Coturnix japonica: one gene and its partner. The protein of the gene in region 1 purifies or fractionates together with the protein of each later gene. This does not show direct contact. Links are inferred from orthologs where the notes say so. Each region holds a gene or a part of one and is shown in the gene's direction. Other genes may lie near its edges.

Region 1 (4,815 bases):
CTCCAGAGGCAGCCCAAGCAGGGACCTGCCGAGCGCTGCTCTCCCTCCCCTACCTCCCTCCCTCGCCGCCCCGGGTTGGGGAGCGCGGACACAAATCCGGCAGTGGGGGCTGAGAGGAGAGGGGTGGATTCCGAAAGGGCGGCAGAGGGGAGCAGCCGAGGCTCGACTGGCCCCGCAGAGCTACTTGGGGCGGTAAGGAGGATCGGGGGCTGCCCTGCTCCATCTCACTGGATGGATCCGGAGGGGCTGAAAACTGCAGGTGGGATCTTGCGGGGTGCAGAACCTCAGTATCCACAGACAGCGGTCAGCCCACTAAAAGATCTTCACCCCGCTGCTCTCTCTCTAATTCCCCTCCTCCAGCCCCCGAGCAGGGTCAGGGCCGGACTCGTTCGGCTCCATTTCACCAAGCAGCGTTTCGGGGGCTGCCCGAGCGCACCCCATAGAAGCGGCTGTGCCCGGGATGGTGCAGTATGGGCAGCCACCAGCCCAACCCCGGCTCCGCGGGTTATGGGGCACCGCCGTGCTACCTCCCGAGATTGATGTGATGGTGGATCCTTCGGTATTATTTTTTCCTCTATCCTCACCCTCCTGTTCTTAAAGGCCAATAAAGCAGGCACGGAGGTGATGGGCGAGGAATCCGAGGGAAACAGAAACAAACAAAACCCCACAAGGTGAGATCTCTTTTCAGGAGCAAACCCCAAGATCTTACTGAAAAATGCGCACAGAAAGGGGGATGGGGGGAGAAGAGACGCGGGAGTGGGAGGTAAGGGGAAATAAATACCCCAGGGATCTGGAAGGAAGTGATCCAAAGGTCCGGAGAGGAAAGAGGCCGAATTCAGAGAAGCCGCCCCCAGCCTGAAACTGCCCTTGTGCCCGCGGGACCCGACGGACCCCCAAGAGCCCACCCTGGGGCTGGGGGGATCCAAGCGGGGCCAGAAGGGCCGAGGGCCTGACGGAAGGAAAGTCCCCCGGTTTATGTGTGTGGAAAAGCTCACCTCTCGCGGAGCTGTAAAGTGTAATCAAGGCTGAGGCTTACACTTGAAGGATGTTAACTCTCATACGGGAACCTACTTTCTCCTAAACGGTTTCTTGCCTACTGAATGAGAGCCTCCCAATTGAGGCAAAATGATCCTTATGCGCTAATATCTAGCGTAGTCACAAAGCGACCGGCTATTTACGCTGCCACTTTAGACAAAGATATTTAGTTATTCCCGGGTAGCAAGTGCACTTTTGCATTTTTAAGCACGAACCAGCCGAGCACCAATATATTTACAAGTGCAATTACTAAATAGTTACTTGACACTTCAAAGTCACTGGGTTAACTGTACCTTCGCTGTAATTTCCTTAATATTCAGGTAATCGCTTTATTAAACGACTTTCCCAGGGCTATCGGCCGGGGTGTGAATTGCTCAGTGGAGGTTCCTCCCTTCCTCCCGAAGCGCACCGAGGTACGCGCGTGGGGACCAGAAGCTGTGACGGGCTACTCGCCGCGTGTGTGTGCGCGGAGATGGGAGTGGGTTCTCTTTTGTTCTTACGCAGGATCCCACAACTGATCCGAAAATGGCAGAAATTGAGGTTTTTTCTAAGTGGCAGGAGTTCGTTAGCAAGGTGGTGCGGCAAATGACCCGAGAGGTCTTCTTCATGCAGCTCCCGCGCTGTATAAATAACCTTAGGGAGCAGCTTCGGGTTCAGAGGGACCTCGGGAGCCTGGGGCAGCCTTTGCCTTTGGGAATAACGAGAGACGCTTTGCTTTATGCTGTTTCAGTAGTGTGTCTCTCGGAGCAATGTAATTGCTGCTCGTTTATGTAAACTTGCATCTTCCACCTCTCTCTGAGGTTTAAAAAAAAAAAAAAAAAAAAAAAAAAAAAAGACAAGAAAGCCTTAGGTAAATGGAACTTGTGGCTTCAGGGAGAGAAACGATCCTCGCACAGGGGGTCTCACACCGAGGGTCTTAGGGGGTACAGAAAGGTGCCTGGGATACCAGGTGCCACGGGGCGCCTAAGCAGCGGGAGGTGTTGCGGATCGCTGGCTGCGGAGCCCCTCCGGGCAGATCTGGGGGGCAGAGGAGGGTCGCTCCTAGTGCCCAGCGGCAGCAGTCCCGTGCCCGCAGCTCTCCCGACTGCTGCCTGCCAGCCTTCCCACCCGCGGCTGATATGAAATCCTTCCACACAGGCAGACGGGGGCTTTAGGCATTGCTCTCCATTACCCGTCCACAATATTGTAACCCCCGAGAAAAATAAAATGAGTTCTGCGCACGGGGTCTCTCTCTCTTTCCATCTCCCTGCCGCTCTCTCTCTCTCTCTCTCTTTTTTAAGACATTAAAAAAAAAAAAAAAAATCCTGACAAGTAAAACTTAAAGGTGTTTACCTTGTCATCAGCATGTAAGCTAATTATCTTGGGCAAGATGTAGGCTTCTATTGTCTTGTTGCTTTAGTGCCTATGCCCCGCCTCTGGTGGCAGCCTAAAACCTGGCGTCTGGCTAAAACAAACGAAAGGCAGCCCTGAGCCTCCACTCAATCCAATTAAGGCGGACTTCGTCCACTCGGTTACGTGTACATCCAACAAGATCGGCGTTAAGGCAACACCAGAATATTTGGCAAAAAAAAAAAAAAAAAAAAAAAGATTTGCCTCCCCTTCTTTTTTTTTTTTTTTTTTTTTTTTTTTTTTTTTTTTTTTTTTCTCCCTCCCCAGCCGCCGAATCATGTCGATGAGCCCAAAGCATACGACTCCTTTCTCAGTGTCTGACATCTTGAGTCCTTTGGAGGAAAGCTACAAGAAAGTGGGCATGGAGGGCAGTAACTTGGGGGCTCCCTTGTCAGCCTACAGACAGTCTCAGGTTTCGCAGCCGGCCATGCAGCAACACCCCATGGGCCACAACGGAACGGTGACTGCCGCCTACCATATGACAGCGGCAGGGGTCCCCCAGCTCTCCCACGCTACTATGGGGGGCTACTGCAATGGGAACCTGGGCAACATGAGCGAGCTCCCGCCTTACCAGGACACCATGCGGAACAGCGCTTCAGCGACAGGATGGTACGGCACCAACCCGGACCCCCGCTTCTCTTCAAGTAAGTGAGCCCGGGGCCGGCTGTCCACTGGGGGGTGGCTGCGTCCCTCTCTGCCCCTCCGCCCCGCGGTCGTCGGGGGCAAAAGTCGGCGCGGACCCCGCTCGCTCCCCTCCGCCTCTTTCATCCTTCTACCGGAGGATCGGGCCCCGTCCCCCCTCTCCGGGCTTTTCGCGGCAGCTCCCGGGGCGGCAGGCGGGAGGGGGGAGCCGGCAGCCGCGCATCGGCGTGGAACACAGCCCCAGGGAAGCCGGCACTGCCCGGCCCCCAGCGCTCCGCTCGACCCCGGCAGGACGAAGGGAAGCGGAGCCGCTGGAGCCGTGAACGAGCTGGGGGAACGGGAGAGCCCGGCTCGGCGGAGCCCCCGGCCGCGGGAGCCGTCGGCTGCAGGGACCGTGCGGCGGCACGCCTGCGGTGCGAGGGGCGAGCGGGGCCGGGCCGGGAGAGAGGGGGTCCCGCGGGCGGCGGGGGAACGAGAGAGGCGGCGGCTGCGGGAGCGGGGGCAGCGCGGGGCCGAAACGAGCCGCTGACAGCGCGCCCCTTCTGCCTTGCAGTCTCCCGCTTCATGGCGCCGTCATCGGGCATGAACATGGGCGGCATGGGCGGCCTGAGCTCCCTGGGGGACGTGAGCAAGAGCATGGCCCCGCTGCAGAGCACGCCGCGGAGGAAACGGAGGGTCCTGTTTTCCCAGGCCCAAGTTTACGAGCTGGAGAGAAGTTTCAAGCAGCAGAAATACCTCTCCGCTCCCGAGAGGGAACATTTAGCCAGCATGATCCACCTCACCCCGACTCAGGTCAAAATCTGGTTCCAGAACCACCGCTACAAGATGAAGCGGCAGGCCAAAGACAAGGCTGCGCAGCAGCAGATGCAACAGGAGAACGGCTCCTGCCAGCAGCAGCAGTCCCCCAGGAGGGTGGCGGTGCCGGTGCTGGTGAAGGATGGCAAGCCCTGCCAGGCGGGCTCCAACACCCCCACCGCAGCCATCCAGAACCACCCGCAGCAGGCGGCCACGACCATCACGGTAGCCACCAATGGCAACAGCCTCGGACAGCATCAGAGCCATCAGACAAACAGTGCGGGGCAGTCTCCCGACATGGGACAGCACTCGGCCAGCCCTTCCTCCCTGCAGAGCCAAGTCTCCAGTTTGTCTCACCTGAACTCTTCCACTTCTGACTATGGCACTGCCATGTCCTGCTCCACCTTACTATACGGTAGGACCTGGTGAAAGGATTAAAGAAAGCGAAACAAAACAGAACAAAACGAAACGAAACGAAACAAAACAAAAAGGAGAAAAAGAAAAAAGCAAATTTTCCCAGTCACGCAAATCTCTGTCCTGTCCAAAGTACTGGGTGCTTCTTCCTTTGCTCTTTTATTGTTTTTTTTTTTTCTTTTTTTCTTTTTTTCATTTTTTACATTTTTTTTTCTTTTTTCCCTAAAGCATTTTTTCGCCCCCCCGTTTTACTGAGTGGTTCTCTGAGAACCCCTAAGAGAGAAAGGGAGAGAGTGACTTTTTGTTCCGTTCTCTGATACTGTGACGGTTTTGGGTCTTTCTTTTTTCCCGTTTCCCCCCCAGCTTGCTGTGTGGGATGTTAAACCAATTCTGACCAATAACCACGGAGCAGTCTGCAGACAGGGGCCCGTCGGTAAGGCATGGCCCGAAGGCTCGGATTGCAGATGGACCCTTTGCCAGCGTCTAGGACTTGCATGTAAATATAGAGATTGGGGAGGATGGGGTTGGGTTTTTTCCCAA
Region 2 (6,398 bases), about 510 kb from region 1:
AGCACGGCGGTGTCAGCGCGACTCGGCGTGTGCCCCAATGCCGAGCTACGTGCCGCCCGTGGGGTCCGTGCCTGTTCCCCTCCCGGCACACGGCGAGCCCTGCGCGGGCTGCTCGCGTCCCTCCGGGCGTTGCTCCCGTGGGGCCATGCTGGGAAGCGGCAGCACCGCCCCGAGGTCACCGTGCGGCGAGCAGCGGGATGCCGGAGCCCTCCCTCATTTTGGGAGGCTTTGAACGGAGCCGGAGCACCGGAGCTGAGAGAGCCGGTACCGAAGGGTCTCCGTGTTCAGACTGTTTCCATTAGGGAAAGGGAGAGGGTGCATACATAAAGACAACAGTTTGAGCATCTGTTTGATTTTCCTCTGGATTTTGTTCCAATTTCCATTTGTGTAGTTTGGCCACTTGAGAGGATGAGTTTTACTCAATGCTTTTATCTTTTTAATTTTGTTTCCTTGAAGACACATTCTCATCCCTTTTTCTCGCTGGATGATTCCAGGTTTGCATCTGTTTCAGGGATTTGATTTAATTCTGTTCCCAAATTTAAAGAAAAAAAAAAGAAAAAAAAAAAAAAGAAAATAAAAAAGGCGACAGGGGAGAAAGAACAAAGAAAGGGAGAGCAGAAAAAGGAAACTCACTTAGAGGACAAATTAAAACACTGCCCTCGAGGAGGAGATAACCTGTAACTTTGAATTTCGGTCCTGCGTCTCTGTTTGATAAACTTCTTAAAAAGCGGTTTTGAGGTGGGGACGTCCTCACAGAGCCCTGGAGGACACATTGGTGTGTATCTCACCGGGTGATAAACATGCCAAGAAGAAATTCGGATCCAGGCATTGTATTTTGTGTCATATAGTACACCTAAGTTTGTCAAAAATCCCAACAACCTTTATTTCCCCTTCAAATTGCCATTCCACGAACAGCTACTTGAGTTTTGGGTTTTCTGCTTTGCTATGTTGGCGTGTGTGTGTGTGTGTGTTTTATTTTTGTTTCCGGGTTTGTTTACTTCCCCCCCTCCCCCCACTATCAGATGATAAAAGTCTCTGGGAAGGAAAAAGCACAAGGCGAGAAACCCAGGAACTGTCGGCGGTCTTCGCATAAGCTCGAAGAGCCGGGCAGGGACAGAATGAGAGCATGTTAGATCCACCTGTGAAGACTGAGGTTCCCTGCATCCATACTTTAAAGAGCTTCGTCCAGTGTCCATTTACCTTGTCTCTGTAGCCCCTTTTCGCCCTCCAGCCTTTGAGGATTCTCTTTCTTCCATGAGAAAAGCTGGGAAGAAGGCAATGGTGCCCGGCCCCAGAGAAGGCTCCCCAAGGCTCTCAAACAGCCTTCTGGCCTGGAGGCTTTCGCCAGGAAAGAAATAAAATTGTTCCAGTGACTCACCTGGTGTTTGTCAGGCAGAGGCTGACCTCGGTGGATCCGCATTCAAGTCTCTGTCCGCATTTATTGGGTGTCTAGAGTGTTACAGCTCACCACGGTGACTCATGATTCCTAAAAGTAAGACACCAAGAAAGAGGTATCATCATCATCACCATCACCGTCACAGTCCCGGGTGGAGGGCACCGCGGGGTTGAGGGCTTAGGGATCTGGATCGAGCGCCGGTACCTTGACGGGAGGAACAGGGGGAGCGTGCGAGGATTTCCCGGCCATTCTGTTAGAGGAGCATCTACTGGACTTCAGTAAATATGGCCCCTAATCTCGGGGTTTTAGGGCTGGATGGCCTTTAGCATTCTATTCAAACAGAGGGGGCTGCCCTTTCCTTATCTACCTCATTTCATTTCCAGTGAGCCCTCCTAAAGCTTGTCCTGTCCGTCTATGAGGGGGGGGGGGGGCTTCCTCCCTCCTCTCTCCCACCTCCGTCTCTCCTTCTTTCCCCGCAAGCTTAAACCAATTACGCCGCTTTGCAAATAAAGTGCCGCCCCGAGGGGAGCCGCAGGCGAGGGGAGCTGCCTCGCTGGCAGGTGCATCTCCGGCTTTGTAGGTGCGAACGCCTTTGTGCGGCGGACAAATGGGGAGAGGAGGAGGAGGGTACTTTGTGCGACGTAAGATCCACATCAGCTCAACTCCACTCACATCCCAGCCGGCACTTCCTCACTTTCTCGACTGTCTCGCCCCGCACCGCTCCCTGCCTCCTTTTTGACTTCATTATAGAGGAGATTTCGGCACTCCCGCCCCTCCTGGGAGCTGGCTTCCTGCTAGGTCGGCCTCTCGGGCTCTTTTCCTGCCACCCGTCGCTCGCTTGCAAGAGGGCTGGATGGTTACACCGGGCAGGTTGGTTCCATAATGTTAGGGACTGTGAAAATGGAAGGGCATGAGACCAGCGACTGGAACAGCTACTACGCCGACACGCAGGAGGTGAGCGAGCCTCGGGTCCGCTGTCCCTCCGAGAGGGAGAAGAGGGGGCTGGGGGAGGGCCGGGGTGCAGAGAGGGGCAGCGAGAGGGGGGATCAGCTTCGCGCTGCGTCTCCCGCCAGCGCCATCGTGTCTCTCCTCGGCCAAGCAACCCCGAGGAGCTCCGCACCGCCCGCAGGAGAACCGGAGGGGCCGGGGGAAGCGCTGAGCTCACCCCGAAGAACTCCTGGCTCGGAGCAGGGGACCGCCGCGTTGCCGTCCCGCTCCTCCCGGCATATGGCACGGGCACAGGGCGCGCCGGGCCGAGGGCTCCGCGCTCCCCACGCCCCCCCCTCCCATTCCTTGGGGCCCCACGCTGCTAGCTGCCGCCTGGGCCTCACCTGTTAGAGCCGAGAGAAAAGAAAGGAAGAAAAAAAAAAAAGAATAAATCGCCGTTTGTTCGGATTTTGCGAGACAGCCCGCCCGCGGTGGGCGCTGCTGTTCAGATGCCGGCGGGCGGCGCTGCAGAGAGAGGCCGGGGAACTCGGAGGGGGCCCGGCCCGGCCGCCAGCCGCCGACCCGCGGCAGCCGGCAGCCTCTTCCGGGCCCCCCCGTGCTCCGGCGTGGTGTGATGAGCGGCCCGAAGGCCGTTAGGAGAGGGCCGGGGAGCGCCGTGATCCAGGCCCCGGTATAGCTTGGCCTCTGCGGGGGTCCGCGGGGAAGGCAGCGGGGCACCACCGCGGAAGAAGCGGGAGCGGTGCCCTGGCAGGAGCCGTTTTAAGGAAGTGAGGGAGCCGCGAGGTGCACACCGGCATTGCATCAGCGCACCCGGACACGGCACAGTCCCCATTCCCGCAGGGCCGCGCAGCTCTGTGTCACCCCACGGCCACCCCATTGCCACACCACTGTCACCTCGCTGCCACCCCCTCAGCGGGGAGAGCTCAGAGCAAAGGGGGGCATCCCCGAGGGGCGTCAGTGCCGCGCTCGTTTTTCCTCTCCACGCTCGTTGTCCACGAACCTAAAGTTACACGACCTGCCCTTTTGCTGTTTTCTTAACCCCACTCTTTTCTCCTCCCGTGTTATTGAACTGGAATCGCTATTTGAGTGTGAGGTGGGAGCCCTCTCCGATAGTTTCTGAGATCCTCTAAATTCAAAGCGCATTGAGAAGCTCGCGGAATTTGTAGGGAATAATGGGGAATGTTATAGTGCACTTAACCCGCACCTAACAACCTTTCCTCGGCCTCGTTGCCTTTGTTCGAGGTGAACGGGTACGAGTTTCTCTGAGCCCTTCTCCCTCACGTGAAATCAGATGTGAACCCGAAACGCACATTTTGGGGCTCCAGGTTCTGCATTTGGTGAGAGCGGTGAGGAGGGATCGGGCTGCAATACCCCGATTGTTGGGGGCTACAGAGAATTCCGTGCAGTGGGAGCTGGGGCTCCGCGCGCATCGTAAAGGTTGGGATGGTGGGTTTGAACTTTAAGCCTGACTCGTTAGGAAATGCGAACAGGGGCAGCTTTCCACAGGTACGATGTGCAGACGGGAGCTGCTGATTTTTTTTCTAATATTTTAATTTTGATTTGTGACAAGACATTATCTGTAGGAACAGAAATATACATCAGCGAGGAGGGAGAGCTGCGTGCGGTTATTCCGGGAAAGTTTTCCCTAGCACACCGGCGTGCGCCCGTAGATCGCAGTAATCGGACGGATTCAAACACGGGGCTCGGAGCCCGCAGAGCCCCGAAGCACTCGGGGCGGCCGAGCCAGGGGCCCGCGGTGCTGAGGCTGGGCTCGGCGTCACCGAGCAGCCTCTACCCGTTCCCGTCATGAGGATTCGGGCTCTCGGCGATCGTCCTGGGCGGGTTCGGAGGCTCCGCGGTGCAGGGCTCCATGCTAACCCTCTCTCGTCTCGCTGCCCTAGGCCTATTCCTCGGTGCCCGTGAGCAACATGAACTCGGGGCTGGGCTCCATGAACACCATGAACACCTACATGAGTATGAACACCATGACGACCAGCGGCAACATGACCTCCGGCTCCTTCAACATGTCCTACGCCAACACGGGGCTGGGAGCCGGGCTGAGCCCCGGCGCGGTGGCCGCCATGCCGGCGGGCTCTGCGGGCGCAGTGAACGGGATGGCGGCCGGCGTGGCGGCCATGGGCGCGGCGCTGAGCCCCGGAGGGCTGGGCGCCATGTCGGGGCAGCCGGCCGCCATGAACGTGCTGGGTCCCTACGGCGGCATGAACCCCTGCGTCAGCCCCATGGCCTACTCGCAGTCCAACCTCGGCCGCACGCGGGACGCCAAGAGCTTCAAGCGGAGCTATCCGCACGCCAAGCCGCCCTACTCCTACATCGCGCTCATCACCATGGCCATCCAGCAGGCGCCCGAGAAGAAGCTGACCCTCAGCGAGATCTACCAGTTCATCATGGACCGCTTCCCCTTCTACCGGGAGAACAAGCAGGGCTGGCAGAACAGCATCCGCCACAACCTCTCCCTCAACGACTGCTTCGTCAAGGTGCCCCGCGACCCCGACAAGCCGGGCAAGGGCAGCTACTGGACGCTGGACCCCGACTCCGACAACATGTTCGAGAACGGCAGCTATCTCCGCCGACAGAAGCGCTTCAAGTGCGAGAAGCCGGCGGGGGGCAAAGCCCCGTCGGAGGGCCGAAAGGACCAGACGTCCGCCTCGGGCTCCGGCTCTCCCTTGCCCCGCGCCCACGGCAAAGCGGCGCCGCCCGACGCCACCGCCCCCCTGCCAGGCCCCAACCCGGCCGCCAGCCCCCAGCCCATGGACCACAGCGGCCCTAGCGCCGAACTGAAGCCCTCGGCCCCGGCCGCCGCCTCCTCGCTCGGCTCCGTGCCCGCCCTGGCCTCCGTCCCGCACCCCCCGCACTCCCTGGCCCACGAACCCCAGCTGCACCTCAAAGGGGACCCCCACTACTCCTTCAACCACCCGTTCTCCATCAACAACCTCATGTCCTCCTCAGAGCAGCAGCACAAGCTGGACTTCAAAGCCTACGAGCAGGCGCTGCAGTACTCCTCGTACGGGGCCGCCATCCCCGGCGGGCTGCCCTTGGGCGGCGGCTCCATGGCGGCCCGCGGCAGCATCGAGCCCTCGGCGCTGGAGCCCTCCTACTACCAGGGGGTGTACTCCAGACCCGTGCTCAACACCTCGTAGCTCGCTGCCTCGGGGCGCACGCCGTGCACAGGACTGTTACTTCCCGATGGCCGTGCGCTGTCCCCGTCCCGCACCCCCCTCTCCCCCCCGCGCTGTACATATCCCCCGCACCCCGCAGGGTGTCATTGAAAAGGAGAAAAATGGGTGAGCTTGTAAACTACTCGTTGTGCTTTCCGCCCCCCGCCCCGCTCTACTATAATCTCATGTAAGTTTACAGGTATGTGGCAATACTTTCCCAATACGGAGATGAAGAAGCGAGTAGAGGTTTAAGGCTTTTTTTTTTTTTTTTTTTTTTTTTTTAATTAAAAAGGCTTTGAAGGACAATACTGCTGTGAAGTAGCAACACACTAAGAGAATCTCTAAGCAACAAGAGGACTGTTTGCTCTCTCGGATCATCCTTTTGATACTTGCAAAACAAACCTCCGGCTTGGACAGCCGCACCCCGCACCCGGCCCAGCTGCAGCCCGGGGTCGGGACAGACTCCCCACAAACCCCCCTTTATTTTTTTCCAAGTGTTACCTGTCTTGGGATGTAATATAACGTTACAAGAGGTCACAGCCAGTTGGATTTTTTTCCTTCCCATCTGTTACTGAAGGTTCTCGTTCCTCAGGCATTCTCGCCTACGTGTGGATGACATGCTTATTTAATTTAAGGTCTCTTCGTCGCGTACCAGCGGAGCTATGGACTGAAAACAAGGTTATCCCCTTCCCGGGAGGCGCTGGCCCTCACACCAGCGCTAGGAACAGAGGAGAGCCCTTCCTCTCCCCTTTCCCACCTCGTTTAATACATTACACACCCATCATTTTTGTGGCCGTTTAATTATCGCCATCATTAGCTTGTTTCATCCAGTGTTAATGCACTTTCCACAGTTTTACACGGTGTTAGCATAGCCAGAC

The links. The genes of interacting proteins can lie anywhere in the genome.
Region 2: the proteins of NKX2-1 (region 1) and FOXA1 purify together in Homo sapiens (affinity purification with western blotting; 3 studies listed by BioGRID and IntAct, with this or other methods). This does not show direct contact. The link is inferred for Coturnix japonica from reciprocal best matches to the Homo sapiens genes NKX2-1 and FOXA1.

The regions. Positions count from the first base shown.
Region 1 is NC_029520.1:33,196,530-33,201,344, reverse strand, and holds part of NKX2-1 (homeobox protein Nkx-2.1), read left to right. Parts: exon of another isoform or gene 1-1,448; intron 1,449-2,691; coding exon 2,692-3,068; intron 3,069-3,619; coding exon 3,620-4,290; 3' UTR 4,291-4,815. UniProt on the Homo sapiens protein: Transcription factor that binds and activates the promoter of thyroid specific genes such as thyroglobulin, thyroperoxidase, and thyrotropin receptor. Crucial in the maintenance of the thyroid differentiation phenotype.
Region 2 is NC_029520.1:33,707,429-33,713,826, reverse strand, and holds the start of FOXA1 (hepatocyte nuclear factor 3-alpha), read left to right. Parts: upstream 1-2,048; 5' UTR 2,049-2,278; coding exon 2,279-2,350; intron 2,351-4,245; coding exon 4,246-5,502; 3' UTR 5,503-6,398. UniProt on the Homo sapiens protein: Transcription factor that is involved in embryonic development, establishment of tissue-specific gene expression and regulation of gene expression in differentiated tissues.